2 linked regions of the Arabidopsis thaliana genome follow. The protein of the gene in region 1 interacts with the protein of each later gene in a pairwise test. Each region holds a gene or a part of one and is shown in the gene's direction. Other genes may lie near its edges.

Region 1 (6,262 bases):
TCATAATACCAGTCATGTATAATCATTAAAGTGGACCATGACACATGAACCAAAAGAGACGAAGAGGTGCTTACTTCTAACGCATTAGTTCCTTTGTCCATCAAGTCTAACTTGGTAAGAACACCAAATGTCCTCTCACCTGAGACGATCAAAAACTTATTTCATCATCTAAAGACAGTACTTCCTGCCATATATATATATCAATCATAGGTAACAAAATAGTAAACGAACCTGTTGGATCGACATCTTTTGCGAGCTTAATTGCATCTGATGTGGCAATGTCTTGGTTGGCAGGAGATATAGCCAATATGATACAATTGGGCTGCAAACAAACAGAAATTAAGCTATTGGTACTACTAAAAAAGTTAACCATCTGCAACTAGAACTTGAGCATATAGTTTAAAAGTCGTATAAGGTTTTTGCATTTTTAAAAAAAAATGAAAGATCTAGCAATTCTCACCTTATCAACATATGTGCGAACCATGGATTCGATATCCTCAGCAATGGTTTCCGGCTGTCCCTCTGGAAATCAGAGGCAGTATCAATAACTACATATACGGTCATCAAATAATAAAGAAATGGAAACCCAAAGAAGAGGTCAAAAGAAACATACCAACAGCCACTTTAGTTAAACCGGGCAAATCAATGAGTGTCAAATTCACAACTGTTTCCATAAAAAAGAGCAAACATCAATGTTAAATCAACAAACAAGAATGTTACAGGAATCAGACTGAGATTATTAAAGATACCATTTGGAGAGTAGATACTGAGGTGAATAGGAACTGGAGATATCTGTTTGTTTTTCCCTGTGATTCTATCAGTCTCATCCTGAATCTCCCTGCGAACCAAAGCTGAAACATCGAAGAATTTTCAAGCAAAAATTCAATGAACACTTTCAACTAAAACACACTTGAAGCAGAACAAACATACATTGATATACATAACATAGATAGACATAAATGTTAAGGTACATACCAAAATCTGTGAATTGCTTCTTGGGAAGATGAAGGAACTCTGCATACTCCTCTGTTCCATCATCAGTCTTATGAAGCTGCAACACTAAAGGCCGTCTCGTAACGATACCTGCACAAACAATACTTCTTCCTCAAAACCAAAGCTCCTCCTTGCTTTATATACAAACATAAGAGAAAAGGGAAAATTTTCACAAACCAGATCCTCTAGGAAGAAAATCTCTCCCAACTATACTCTCAAGAACCGAAGATTTCCCAGAACTCTGCACAAACCCAAAAAAAAAGTAAGTTGAAGAGTCACCAGAGAGAAAACCTAGGAAGAAGTCAAAGATATTTCAACCGGAGAAATCACCTGACCACCGACGACGGCGACGGTTGGAAGAGCTTCCCAGAGAGAATTGAAAGCGTTACTTCCAGTTCCACCACCATAGTCACCGAGTACGGTACATGCTCTCTGTATCCTATTAACTAACCCAATCAAACTCTCCATAGTCGTCATCTTCCTTCTCCTTCAGTTTCAGATGAGAGAATATAAAGTTCCAAAGACGAAATTTTCAGTTCAGAATTAGAAAGCTGCTTGAAAATTCGCCAACAGACCAAAGACTTCAAGAGCTGAGAGAGAGAGACGAAGAAGAAAAATATTCGTAGGGGCAAAATAGGAAAATGAATTTAGAGAATAAATGTCTCTCTTTGATTTCTAGAAGGTTTGATTTGTGTGCCTGTGGCTGTGTGGTTCGGTCGGTTTACAGATAGCTTAGCCGCCGTTAAGGAGTCGTCTGGCTCTGGTTCGTTTTGGTTCGGTACGGTCTGGTTCTTACTTTTCTAGACGGTCAAATCTAAAATAATGAAGATAAGATTTGTGTCCCTTTAATTTGAGATATTTGTAACCTGTTTGAATTTTCGAATTTTGAAATTCCACATGGACCCCTCACACAAATACAAAATAATAAGTCTAGAAACAACAATCAACATTGTTTAGAAGGCCCAATAGATATAGAAGACTTTTAAAAGGACCCAATAATAAAGTTAGGTCCAGGAAGAGGGTAGGAGGCTATATGTATACAAGCGGTTCTCTAGTTTTTATGGGTTTTGTGTTATCCAGTCTGAATTATTTTAGATTTTATTTTAGAAATCACAAACATAAAATAATATTTCTAGAAAATTTTGAATTTCTTAGTACTTGGTAAATAATGAATCATTCTTCACAATAAACATAGACATAAACACAAAAACAATGAGTTTCTCTCAACATCATGATTTAGTTATCAACCAAACCAAACTAAATGACTGAAATAACCAAACTAACATAACATATTCAAACTAAGAAGAAGCAAAAACTAAGTATAGGTTGTCGTTATTTATTACATCATTGATTATCACATGACAGGCCCAATAGACAAGGAGACTTTAGGAAGGCTTTAAAAGCCCAATAATGAAGTTAAGGCCTATTGATGAAATATGAAAACCACGTGGCAATATGTAGAAGAAACGGACGAACATTCGTGTGAGATATGTGGAAAACGACGATGGCTCGTCTTCACCTAATACTTGTCGGCTTTTACCATCCAACGTCACATGCTTCTCTTTTAGGTTTTTTATTTATTTATACAGTTATATCATTGTTTCAAGTCAGTGGCTGAGGTAATCACTACACATCCCATTCAAATCCAATGGTATTGGTCCGTATATTGAATTAAAGAAAGGTCAACCATAACTAGATTTTATCTTCTACAACTATGAAACTATAATGGCGCGTTAGATCAATTTTTTGTAAGTTGGCAAAATTACGAACCAAAAATTGCAATTGAATCACTAACCATCGCATAATTAAATTTTGCATTAAAGAAATGGTTAGTGATAAAATGATCTGTCAAAATGTTGTGCTTACAAATCTCCATTAGATAAATAAATTAGTTTCTCTCTCTCATCTATCTTTTTTTTTGGTTTTCCGACATAGAATGCTATCTCTCTCTCTCTAAGCCTATCTCAAAACAGAGATCTTAGGAGAAGAAGACAAAATCTTTACCACCAGATCTTTTCTTCTTCCTTCATCTTTACAGGTTGTCACATCACTATAACCACCGAAACTCTCGGCCCAACCCAAAAAAAAAAAAGCTTCCTTTCGAAAAAAATCAAAGCTTTTTCTTTTATCTTCAATTCTCCTCCGATGAGGTGTAAAAGACACACCGTCGATCTCAGCAGCAGCAACGGCGTTTGCGCTTCTTGCCTCCGTGAACGTCTCCTCTCTCTCGCCGCTTCCGCCGCCGTATCAGCCGCCGTAGAAGATAATCAATCAAAGAAATCTAATAACAATAATCATCCTCCGCTTTTGATTTTCCCTCGCTCTGTTTCTCCTTACGTTACCCGTAGAAAATCCGACGCCGGAGCCGGTGGAGGAGATCCTTTAGTTTCTTCTAATCGGAGATTCATTACCACGCCACAGATAGATCTCGTCGGATATTCATGCAAAGATTTCGAATCGAATCGATCAAATAAATCAAAACAAGGTAAAAAAGTATCTAGATTCTCGAATCTATTCAGAGCTAGATCTGAAGATTTCGATACCAATCCCAAATCCAACAATCCTAGATTCTCCTCATGCGACGCGTCTGAGATTTCATCTTCTTCTTCCTCTTCACGTTCATGGATCTCGACGATTCTCTCCACCGGTCGACGTAAAAAGCAACCAACCACCGCGTGTTACATCGAAGACGTTATCGCTGCGCGTAGACCTCAACGTATATACTGTAGAGGAATGTCACCTGTAAGAGATACGGAACCGGAGCAGTCGGCGGAATCAATCGAGGAATTGAGGAGAACTCCGGCGACGAAAACTCCGGGAAGGAGGAAGATTGCGATGGGGATAGGGAAGAGCATGTCGGGGATGGCTTTTTGTTTGAGTCCGTTGGTGAGAGCTAGTCCTAACTGTCCGTTTAAACGGAAAATGAGATTTCCATCGGAGTTTGGTAATTCTGGGGAGGTAACGGCGGTGCCGGAAAAGCCTCATATATCAGCAGCGGCGTCGTTTTGTGCAAATAGATCGAAGAAGCTTGTGGATTTAGGTAGAGTTGATCGCCGCCGTTGAGTTTTTTTATTTTGGTGGGATTAGTCTTTGGTCAACGTGTTTGACTATTGGATAGTAAACTACGGCTTTCTGAAGATGGATTTTGCCAAAATCAAGCTTTTTATATGGCTTGTGGTGAATAATCTCTATGGGAAATAGCTCAAACAATACTTTTGTTATAAAAAATTGTAATGTTTTCTGATTGTAATTGTAGAGTTTGAATGGCCAAATATATTGTTCTTAGGAGATTAAGAGAAATAATGTAGTGTGTTCTTGTTTTTTTACTTATGAGAATTACTTACCGATTATTAGGACAAGAAATCAAGATAAAACCGGATCGATTGATTGGTAGAACCGTGGAACCTGATCAAACCGGATCTAAATTCCAAAAAAATTGGACAAAATCAGTATGGGTTCGTATAGCGGTAAGATCCTATATGAACCGTGCCAATAATACCGAATCAGGTTAGTCAATCTATATGTGCTGAAGTATTAATTCAAATGTATTATGTCATATAGTCAAAGACTCAAATGTCATTACACTAAGCATTACGGTTTTGAGTAGTAGTAGTAGTAATGCGGGTGCTTAGATTTTGAAATTTGACCCATGAATTTCTGGCTATAAATAATAAGAGTGCGACAGTTTTGACTTATTTTTTGTCATCACCTTGGAAAAGTTTATCTTGGGTTTCACAGTCCTTCTTCTCTAGTCCACTTCAACACATAGACCTACAAAGCTATATTGGAATCGCTTATGACACAAGTATCAAAATATCTTTTATCGACTTTTAATAAAAATCCAAGTACGACATAGAGTGCTTTCAATTCAACTTTATAAAAGTTGTCTAATAACTCGAAAGAGTTTAAATGAAGAGGGTCCACGGGGTTCATCTCCATGGGTCCGTGAATCTCCTTTACGCTCTGGTAAAATAATTCGTTTTTAAGAAATCAAGTAAAGATCAAATCCTTGAAAAAATTGAATGGGATCGGTCTTGTTCACCAGCTAAGCTATGAACATAAGGCTTATGAGAAATTTGCAAATAAAACGATTTCTGTTTGAGAGAACATTGTTGACTTTAACAATTTCGGTTTCCGATCAATCTCCACTTTGAGCTCTTTCATGAAACTCAAACAACAGAACATATGCTGCTGTCACTGAAATTACAAGAAAACCAGAAACTCTTTGGTAGATGATATCATTGAATGCACAACTTCGATGCTACTTTTCACTGGACGATAGCTAACAAGTCGCTTTCTTTGCAAAAGCAATGCTTAGCATCTTCTGTTCCAAAATCAACCTGAAGAAATCAAAAGAGATGTCTCAGTTTCACAAGTATGATCAAAGTCATCAAGTATGGTCTCAATGTTCCATCATAATCATCAAATACAAACCTCATAGGCGCTCATATCAGAGAACAAAACCTGCAAAAGATACAAGAGCATGAACAAATGAATGAAGAAGGAGATTATACAGTTACTTCATCGTGTTTTTAGTTAAAAGATGAAACATACCTTCTTGCCAGGTTCCACTTCCCCAACCTCAGACCCAACAGAGACAACCTGAAATCCTCAACTCCATATCAATTGTTCCTTCTAAGTCTTAATAACATCCAATTAAAGAGCAAAGGACAGACGAGAGAGCCTTACCTCGCCTGTTAGGTACCTCTCGAATTTCACAGCTGATTTAGGCAACAGTACTCCTCCTGAGGATTTCTGCACAAGCACAAAAGCATTGTCACAACTCACAATCAACATTAGAACTCACAACTAGTATTGTAACAACATGATACATTGACCAAGACTCATGATTCGTCTACAGAAACCGCAGCGCCACGAGCAGAGAAACTAAACTTTGTAATCTTAAGTGTTCTAAATTGTTTCCCTTTTTGTGTGTGTTTCTTTTCTCTTCTAACAAAACAGAAACGATCTCAAGACTTCAGTGAATAAGGGAAACTAACTACATTTCAACAGCAACATTGTTGGAAAAGAAAGCTAAGGAATCACCGGAAAATGGCAAATATACTCTAGTCGTCGTGAGGGGGATCGATTGAAAATGTAAAAAGAAGAAAGCTAAGAGACAGAACCTCAGGAAGCACTTCAAGGCGGACAAGGACCCTGTCTGCTTGTGGTACAACCTGCAAAACCCATTGCAACAAATAAAAATGAAATGATCTCCTGATTAAAACAAAATCACCACCAAAAATAAAAGGAGACGAAGAAAAAAAAA
Region 2 (7,886 bases), on another chromosome or scaffold:
TGTGAGGTTAGAAACAATGATAACGCAGCAGGTCCTAGCCTGTCTTCTAATGATATAGAGGATGTCAATAGTTTATCACGCCTTGCATTAGCAGAAGCCCTTGCTACGGCATTGAGCCAGGCTGCCGAAGCTGTTTCTTCGGGAAATTCAGATGCAAGTGATGCCAGTAAGTGCATAGGAGGTGTTAATTTAGCTATGATACTTTGGATGTCCATATGTTGTGGACTTGCATAAATTCCTAAATTTTGCCCTTTGACATGCTTTATATAGCTGCAAAAGCTGGAATCATTTTGTTGCCCAGCACACATCAACTTGACGAAGAGGTTACTGAGGAACATAGTGAGGAGGAAATGACTGAAGAGGAACCAACTCTTCTCAAGTGGCCAAATAAGCCCGGGATTCCAGATTCTGATTTGTTTGACCGTGATCAATCGTGGTTTGATGGACCTCCAGAGGGCTTCAATCTCACAGTAAGTCTCTTATGCATTTAAATATACTCACCCATTAGGAATGCGTTGAAATAAACTCACTGGTCCTCTTCCTTCCTCAGTTATCAAATTTCGCTGTGATGTGGGATTCACTGTTTGGCTGGGTATCATCGTCCTCTCTGGCATACATATATGGGAAGGAAGAATCTGCTCATGAGGAGTTCTTATTGGTTAACGGGAAGGAGTACCCCCGGAGGATTATCATGGTAGATGGGCTTTCCTCAGAGATCAAGCAGACAATTGCTGGGTGCCTTGCCAGAGCTTTACCGAGAGTCGTCACTCATCTCAGGCTGCCAATAGCGATATCCGAGTTAGAAAAGGGACTGGTACGTTTCCAATATTTTTTCTTCTCATTAGTCTGTTATCGTCGGTCTACTTATAAACCAAATAGCCCATCCTAGTCAAATTAGTGATTGGTCCCGTCTATCTTTGTAAAATGTAGCAAGTACTCCTAGAACGAAACCTTAGTATATAAGTATGGAATCATATTTGAAATTATAAACTCTTTAAAAGTTCCTCATGAGAATCTTGTCTCAAACTTACGCTGGGAAGCTTATATATAGTTTCTCAGTGATATTGGTTGTGTTTTGTTGTTGAGCAGGGAAGCTTGTTGGAGACAATGTCGTTGACAGGAGCAGTTCCATCATTTAGGGTAAAAGAATGGCTAGTGATTGTTCTTCTTTTCTTGGATGCGTTGTCTGTATCACGTATCCCTCGGATTGCACCTTATATATCCAACAGAGACAAGGTTTGTTCCAGTCAACTTGAACATAATAAATGGCGAACTCTAACTGAATTTAATCTGTTGATAAATGTTGGTGAAAAATATCAGATTTTGGAAGGAAGTGGAATTGGAAATGAAGAGTATGAGACAATGAAGGATATCCTGTTACCACTTGGCCGTGTTCCTCAGTTTGCTACCCGAAGCGGGGCGTAGACAAAACCCGGGTTTAAGGTTTATTGGTAGAAGAAAGAAATCAACTTAAGATATATGAAAATAGAGGAGTCTATAATTTTGAAGCCATTGTTTTGAATGTATGAAAGATCTTGAAGTCATGCTTGGCTTGCTTTTTACTTGGAACAAAGATTTGTCGCATTTCGATATATGATAAATGGGTCAGAGACGTTGAGTTGTTCCTTTTATGAAATTTCTTATAAGTTAGTAAGTTAATGAGTTTGAATTGAAATGTCAAATTTTCTTTGACTAAGACATGTTTTCGTCTAAGATTTTGATTCTAGACTGTGTGTTTCTATGCATGCGAGAAGAAATTTATGATTGACTAAGTAATATCTTAATCCGTACCTTTTGTCGAAAAAAAATAGTAATAATTCCTAGCCAGAATCTCTTGTTTGTTATATAATACTTGTTTCAACATTTAATTCACATCTACTAGTGTTTATAAATGAAATGTACATGGAATAAAATAAAGAATTGTCACCATAATGTTTTTTCCTAACTATAAATTAAATGTAGTAGGGATAAAATCCAATAATTGGGGATGAATTATTGAGATAGGTTACTACTTTAGATAGGGAGGGTCTCTCACCTCACCTTATAATAAAAAAAGTGGTCGTTGATTATTTTCTTTTTTGTTTCCTCTCCGACACGTTTGACCCAACGGCCCATTTTCAGCTTCTGGTCTCCTTCGTATATTCTTTAGGTATACAAATTTTAAAAGTCAAAATTACCCTCACTTATTCTTCTTCTAAATAAATTCCTATACTAATTAGATGTTTTTAACTACAAGAAAAATTCAAAGAAACATATGGTGGTTTTAATGTACCAATCACATTAAAATAATGGGTTTGATTGGTAACAATTTTAAAAAACTGTACAAAATTTTCTAAAACATACAGTTTTAATATTTACCGATCACAAAAACTTTATTAAAAACGTTACAAACAGTTTTATTCTCAATTTATTTTACTAATTTTTCGTACAGCTAAAGTTTACAGCTCCAACTAACAGCTAAAACACTTTTAGTTACCAATAATCCTAATAAATAAGTTCTTTATGCATTATTTTCTATGACCCTTATCTCTTTTGGTTTGTTGTGTTGGGAAGAAAATATAAAAGTTTGAATGGTCAAATCTCAAAAAGAGGACAAAAACTAAAACCAATGTAACTTTACTAACTTCGACGAGTCCCATTATTTTTTCTTTTTCACTTTCAAAGAAATTATCCATTTGCCTATCAATGATTTAATTTTTTTTCCCCACCCTACCAAAAAAAAAAAATGATTTAATTTTTTTTCTTTTACAATATAGTAATAATAAAATTGTCTTCACGAGAAGCCAGCTATATAGAGAGAGATGATTATAGACGAATCACAAAATAATATAAAGTAAAAATATTTCATAATTCGTCTCTCACCGGAAAAATAAATAAAGTTAGAGAGAGAGATTCATAATCATCAAACCCACAAATCCTTTTTTTTTTTTTTGTTAAAACCCACAAATCCTTACTCGTACGGATCTCTCTCTCTTTAATATCCTAATTCTTCTCTTCATCGATCTGAGATTTTTACGTTTTCATCGGTACGTCTTAAAGATCTCTCTCTTTCTTCATCCCTTCTTCTGGGTTTTAGCTTCAGATCTGCTTCACCATGAATTTTAATTTAACCCATCATTTTAAAATCGACAGATTCTCTCTTCTCTACCAAACTCTAATTTGGTTTTAATGTTTGGGTCTTTTAAATTTTGCAACTTTTTTTGGGCTTATCATTATTTTTTTTGTTCCCGTTAAAAAAAAACTTTCCTTTTCGTAATTTTAGTGTTCTAAATTGTTTTTTACTTATTTGAAGTGTTCAATTGTTAAGCTTGAAAGAATTGTGTTTTGTTCCTTTATTGAAATTGAATTTGTGTGTTTTGTTATTAGTAAAGCAACAAACTTTACTCATTGGATTTTAATCTCTGTTGTTATTTGTTGCAGGCTTGAAAGTTTGAAGAGTTTTGTAGCCTGAAAAATGGCGTCAGTGGGTATAGCTCCTAATCCTGGAGCAAGAGACTCTACTGGTGTTGATAAATTGCCTGAAGAAATGAATGACATGAAAATTCGTGACGATAAAGTATGTTTCCATGCGTTGTAGTATAGTTTTTGGTATGTATTTCATGAGAATCTAAATAATGGATTGTGGTTTGTTAGGAAATGGAAGCGACAGTGGTAGATGGAAATGGAACAGAGACTGGACATATCATTGTGACTACTATTGGTGGTAGAAATGGCCAACCAAAACAGGTTTTTGATTCTTCTTCTTTGCAAAAAACTGTTCTTTTAATCTTCTTAAGTTAGTTGATTGGTTAGTGTTTCGTGTTTTTATTAATTTTTCTACAATGTCAATGCAGACAATTAGCTACATGGCTGAGCGTGTTGTTGGTCACGGATCTTTTGGTGTTGTGTTCCAAGTGAGTTTTTGTTAGCTTATCATCTCTCACGTTTTACATCATGTATCTATCAATTGACTGAATTGGATTCCTCTGTATTTTCTTATGTGATTTAGGCGAAATGTCTTGAGACAGGAGAAACTGTTGCGATAAAGAAAGTTTTACAAGATAGGAGGTACAAGAACCGTGAGCTTCAAACCATGAGGCTACTTGACCATCCTAATGTTGTGTCTCTGAAACATTGTTTCTTCTCAACCACTGAAAAAGATGAGCTTTACCTCAATCTTGTTCTTGAGTACGTTCCAGAAACTGTTCATCGTGTTATCAAACACTACAACAAACTGAATCAGAGAATGCCTCTTATATACGTCAAACTTTACACTTATCAGGTATCAATTATTACATTTCTGTTAGATTTAGAGTTATGTTTTGGATCTCTTATCGGATTTCTCTATGTTTGGCAGATTTTTAGAGCCTTATCTTACATTCACCGATGCATTGGTGTGTGTCATCGTGACATAAAACCTCAAAACTTGTTGGTATGTACAAGTTAAATAAACAGGAGCTCACAGTATACCCGGGAATATACTTTTCTTCATTGTCTAATGCTACTTTTTTCACCTGTAATGGAACAGGTAAATCCGCACACTCATCAAGTAAAGCTATGTGATTTTGGAAGTGCAAAAGTATTGGTGAGTTTGATAAACCTCTTCCGGGTACTTTGTTTCTTGGAAAAAGTTAGATTCAATCTTGTTGATCATTGTAATATCTGAAAACAGGTAAAAGGAGAACCAAACATTTCCTACATCTGCTCGAGGTATTACAGAGCACCTGAACTTATTTTTGGAGCAACCGAGTATACGACAGCCATTGATGTCTGGTCTGCAGGATGTGTTCTAGCTGAACTATTGCTTGGACAGGTAATGCATTAAATCTTATTCAAACATTTTTGTTCTACTTAACCTGGAATTTTGTGATTGACAAACTCTATTCTCTGCTCATGACAGCCCTTGTTCCCTGGTGAGAGCGGTGTTGATCAACTTGTAGAGATTATCAAGGTATAAGCTTTGCACTTGTTCACTTTGATAACAAGTTCTTGTTTTCAATAATACTGAGAGAAGATTTGATGTAATGTTTTTTGTTATGCTTTGGGGTAGGTCTTGGGAACGCCTACTAGAGAAGAAATCAAGTGCATGAACCCAAACTACACGGAATTCAAATTCCCTCAGATTAAAGCTCATCCATGGCACAAGGTAGAAATAAACTTATATTCATCAAATCAACTTGTCAATGTGTTATTCAGTAGCAGTTACAGTCAATGTGACAATATCTACTCGTCATAATATATTCACAGATTTTCCACAAACGCATGCCTCCAGAAGCTGTTGATTTGGTCTCAAGACTTCTTCAATACTCTCCTAATCTACGAAGTGCCGCTGTGAGTATTACTTACAAATTCAACATTCTTCTGTGAATCTTCTCGATGGTCCTTTCATTTCCTATTTTTCTTTTGTCTGACTTGCTTTTACTTGAATCGTAAACCTGATCACAGCTCGACACATTAGTCCACCCATTCTTTGATGAGTTAAGAGACCCAAACGCACGTCTACCTAATGGACGTTTCCTTCCACCGCTTTTCAACTTCAAGCCTCACGGTACAACATCTCCCTTTCCTAATGGTGTTTATCTCCAACTTACCTGTAAAATCATCAAAGTTTTACCTTACTAAAGCTATACCTGTAATTGTTGTGAAACAGAGCTGAAAGGTGTACCATTGGAGATGGTAGCTAAGTTAGTACCTGAGCATGCAAGGAAGCAGTGTCCTTGGCTCGGTTTGTGATTTCCTCTTAATGTAGCATGAACACAACAAACACTTCTTATAAATTACCTCTCTATGTATCAATATGTCACAAACTGATATGCACCCTTTGTTTGTTGTATGAGTAGAGAAAAAAAGAGTTATTACTATGGTTGGTTGGTTCATAATGTAAAAGCCCACCAAGATTTTTTATCTAGATAAAGAGTTTGCTACTTCTGCTTTTGTATCTTCTTCTTCCTCTGCAACATCATCAAACAAAGACCCTAAAAGTCACTGTAGCAAATACAAGTATCCTCACGCGCCTAAAACTAATAAAAGCCAAAACTTTTTGATTCTACGAGTCGTCGTCGTCATCGCCGGAAGATGCCGTCGGGGAAATATTACTGTGATTATTGCGAGAAAGAGTTTCAAGACACTCAAGTCGCTAGAAAACGCCATCTTCAAAGCAAACCTCATCTTCGAGCTAAAGCCCTTTGGTACAGTTCTTCTTCCTCAGGTATCTCTCTTCTCTCTTTTTTCTCTCTGTTTCTTAAAGGAACGATTTTTAACATCTCTGTTTCTTTTAATACGAAATTCTTAGATCTTGTTAATCCACAAGTCTCCAATTTTGCGACGAAAGGTCTCTGCAATCGATTCATTACCTCGGTACGTCGGATTGATTTTGTTTCGCTATGTTCATCATTCCTAGCAATCTCTGGATGTGTAAAGTCTTGTCCTTTTCGTTTATATTCTGGTGGAATCACACATTTTACATTGCTTTGTTTGATTCTGCAAAAAAATTCATTGCATATGTGTGTATGTATGTAATCTTCCAAGTAAAGTCTGTTCCTTTCTTAATGGGTTTTGCAGAATTTTTGCCCATTTGGAGATTCTTGCAGATACTTCCATCCTAACAACAATACAGGAAGCACAGGTTAGGTCAAAACCTGTTGATTTTTGACTTCAGTGATTTGGTCTCTTTTAGGCTACTTAAAGCTTTAAAGAAGTCTCTACTATGCGCAAGATTTGCTTAAAACATCATCCTCTTGTTGAATTCAAATGCAGGATTCACAAATAATACACAACTTCGTGTTGACATGCTTAACCAACAACACATCCAAGGAAGTACTTTAAACCGTATGCGTTCTTGTTTTTTCGTCATTCAAGTTCTCTAATATTTAAGCATTTATAGAAAATCTGATGTTGGAAGTTTGAATTGTCTAAAACAGGTGATTTTGTTAGTGGGAGACCAGGAACAGGTTGGTTTGATCTTCCGCCATCGCTAAAACCGCCTCCTGAGCAAGGCTATCCTCAGCTTCCCTTCATAGACTGGGGATAGATATAAATTCTCTGAATAATGCTCAGTTTCAACATTGATGATTCTACTTGAAAGGAAAAGACTAATCTTTGTCTCGTTGTGCTCTGCCATTACCAAGCTTTTAGCCACAAGCTTGTCTCTTTTCAGACTCGAGGTTGGAAGAATGTCAACCAAATTGTCGTCTTGTTACTCAATTTGTCGTCAACTTTAGAGACATTGTTCGGAGTTTGGACATGGCAAATTTGCAATTTAACATACTGTGCGATATTCTGATAAAATTCTTTAAATTTCGTTGGCTCGTCCCTATTCATTGCGTGATGATAGGATATCGCTAATTCGCTATCCGCTTCCTGGCCATGTGCTAAACAAGACTTCCCAAGCCAAACTATCAAAATATTTGACAAAGTTGGAGCAATTCCTAAGGCTGTAGATTAATTACAAAGTTGGAACAATTTTTTCCCTAGAAAATACATTATTGAGAAACAGAGTATAAGTTGGCTAAAAGAAAAATCAGATTGTTCAGAATCAAATATTTAAATTATTAACTTCATTTTCATTTCTTCAACTCCATAAAATAGAACTAATTTTAAACTCTTTATTGTTGAGAGAAATATCTTCGAATCTCCTAAGAGTAATTTAGTCGAGCATGTTGGTTTGAGTTTATAAAAGATAGGTTATGATTTATTAGTTAATATTTCAAATTTATATATTGGTTTTTAGGTTTATAATGGAGGGTTTTAGTTTATTTTTTATTTTAATTATGAACAAAGTAAATAGTTTGAGTTTATAAAGAAGAGTTTGATTAGCGTATTATAATTACTTATATGTCGGTTTAGGTTTAAGATTTTATAATTAAAGATTATATTTCTGTTAGGGTTTTAGGGTTTCAGGGTTATAA

What was found. Proteins that work in one complex are often made in the same cells at the same time.
Region 2: the proteins of AT3G60200 (region 1) and SK 11 interact in a two-hybrid assay, tested with the Arabidopsis thaliana proteins (one large-scale study listed by BioGRID).

Annotation. Positions count from the first base shown.
Region 1 is NC_003074.8:22,246,182-22,252,443, forward strand, and holds AT3G60200 (uncharacterized protein), read left to right. Parts: upstream 1-2,710; 5' UTR 2,711-3,138; coding exon 3,139-4,056; 3' UTR 4,057-4,387; downstream 4,388-6,262. Other genes in the region: DL1E (DYNAMIN-like 1E), read right to left, coding at 75-139, 232-322, 461-522, 614-664, 750-851, 976-1,083, 1,171-1,234, 1,324-1,470; AT3G60210 (GroES-like family protein), read right to left, coding at 5,262-5,333, 5,428-5,457, 5,548-5,595, 5,683-5,748, 6,120-6,170.
Region 2 is NC_003076.8:9,397,408-9,405,293, reverse strand, and holds SK 11 (shaggy-related kinase 11), read left to right. Parts: upstream 1-2,817; 5' UTR 2,818-3,026; intron 3,027-3,420; 5' UTR 3,421-3,454; coding exon 3,455-3,556; intron 3,557-3,633; coding exon 3,634-3,726; intron 3,727-3,833; coding exon 3,834-3,893; intron 3,894-3,988; coding exon 3,989-4,261; intron 4,262-4,336; coding exon 4,337-4,411; intron 4,412-4,507; coding exon 4,508-4,564; intron 4,565-4,651; coding exon 4,652-4,792; intron 4,793-4,879; coding exon 4,880-4,930; intron 4,931-5,029; coding exon 5,030-5,125; intron 5,126-5,226; coding exon 5,227-5,310; intron 5,311-5,424; coding exon 5,425-5,527; intron 5,528-5,629; coding exon 5,630-5,712; 3' UTR 5,713-5,917; downstream 5,918-7,886. Other genes in the region: AT5G26760 (RNA polymerase II subunit B1 CTD phosphatase RPAP2-like protein), read left to right, coding at 1-166, 271-470, 551-814, 1,090-1,236, 1,321-1,425; AT5G26749 (C2H2 and C2HC zinc fingers superfamily protein), read left to right, coding at 6,055-6,187, 6,272-6,393, 6,541-6,604, 6,736-6,807, 6,900-7,009.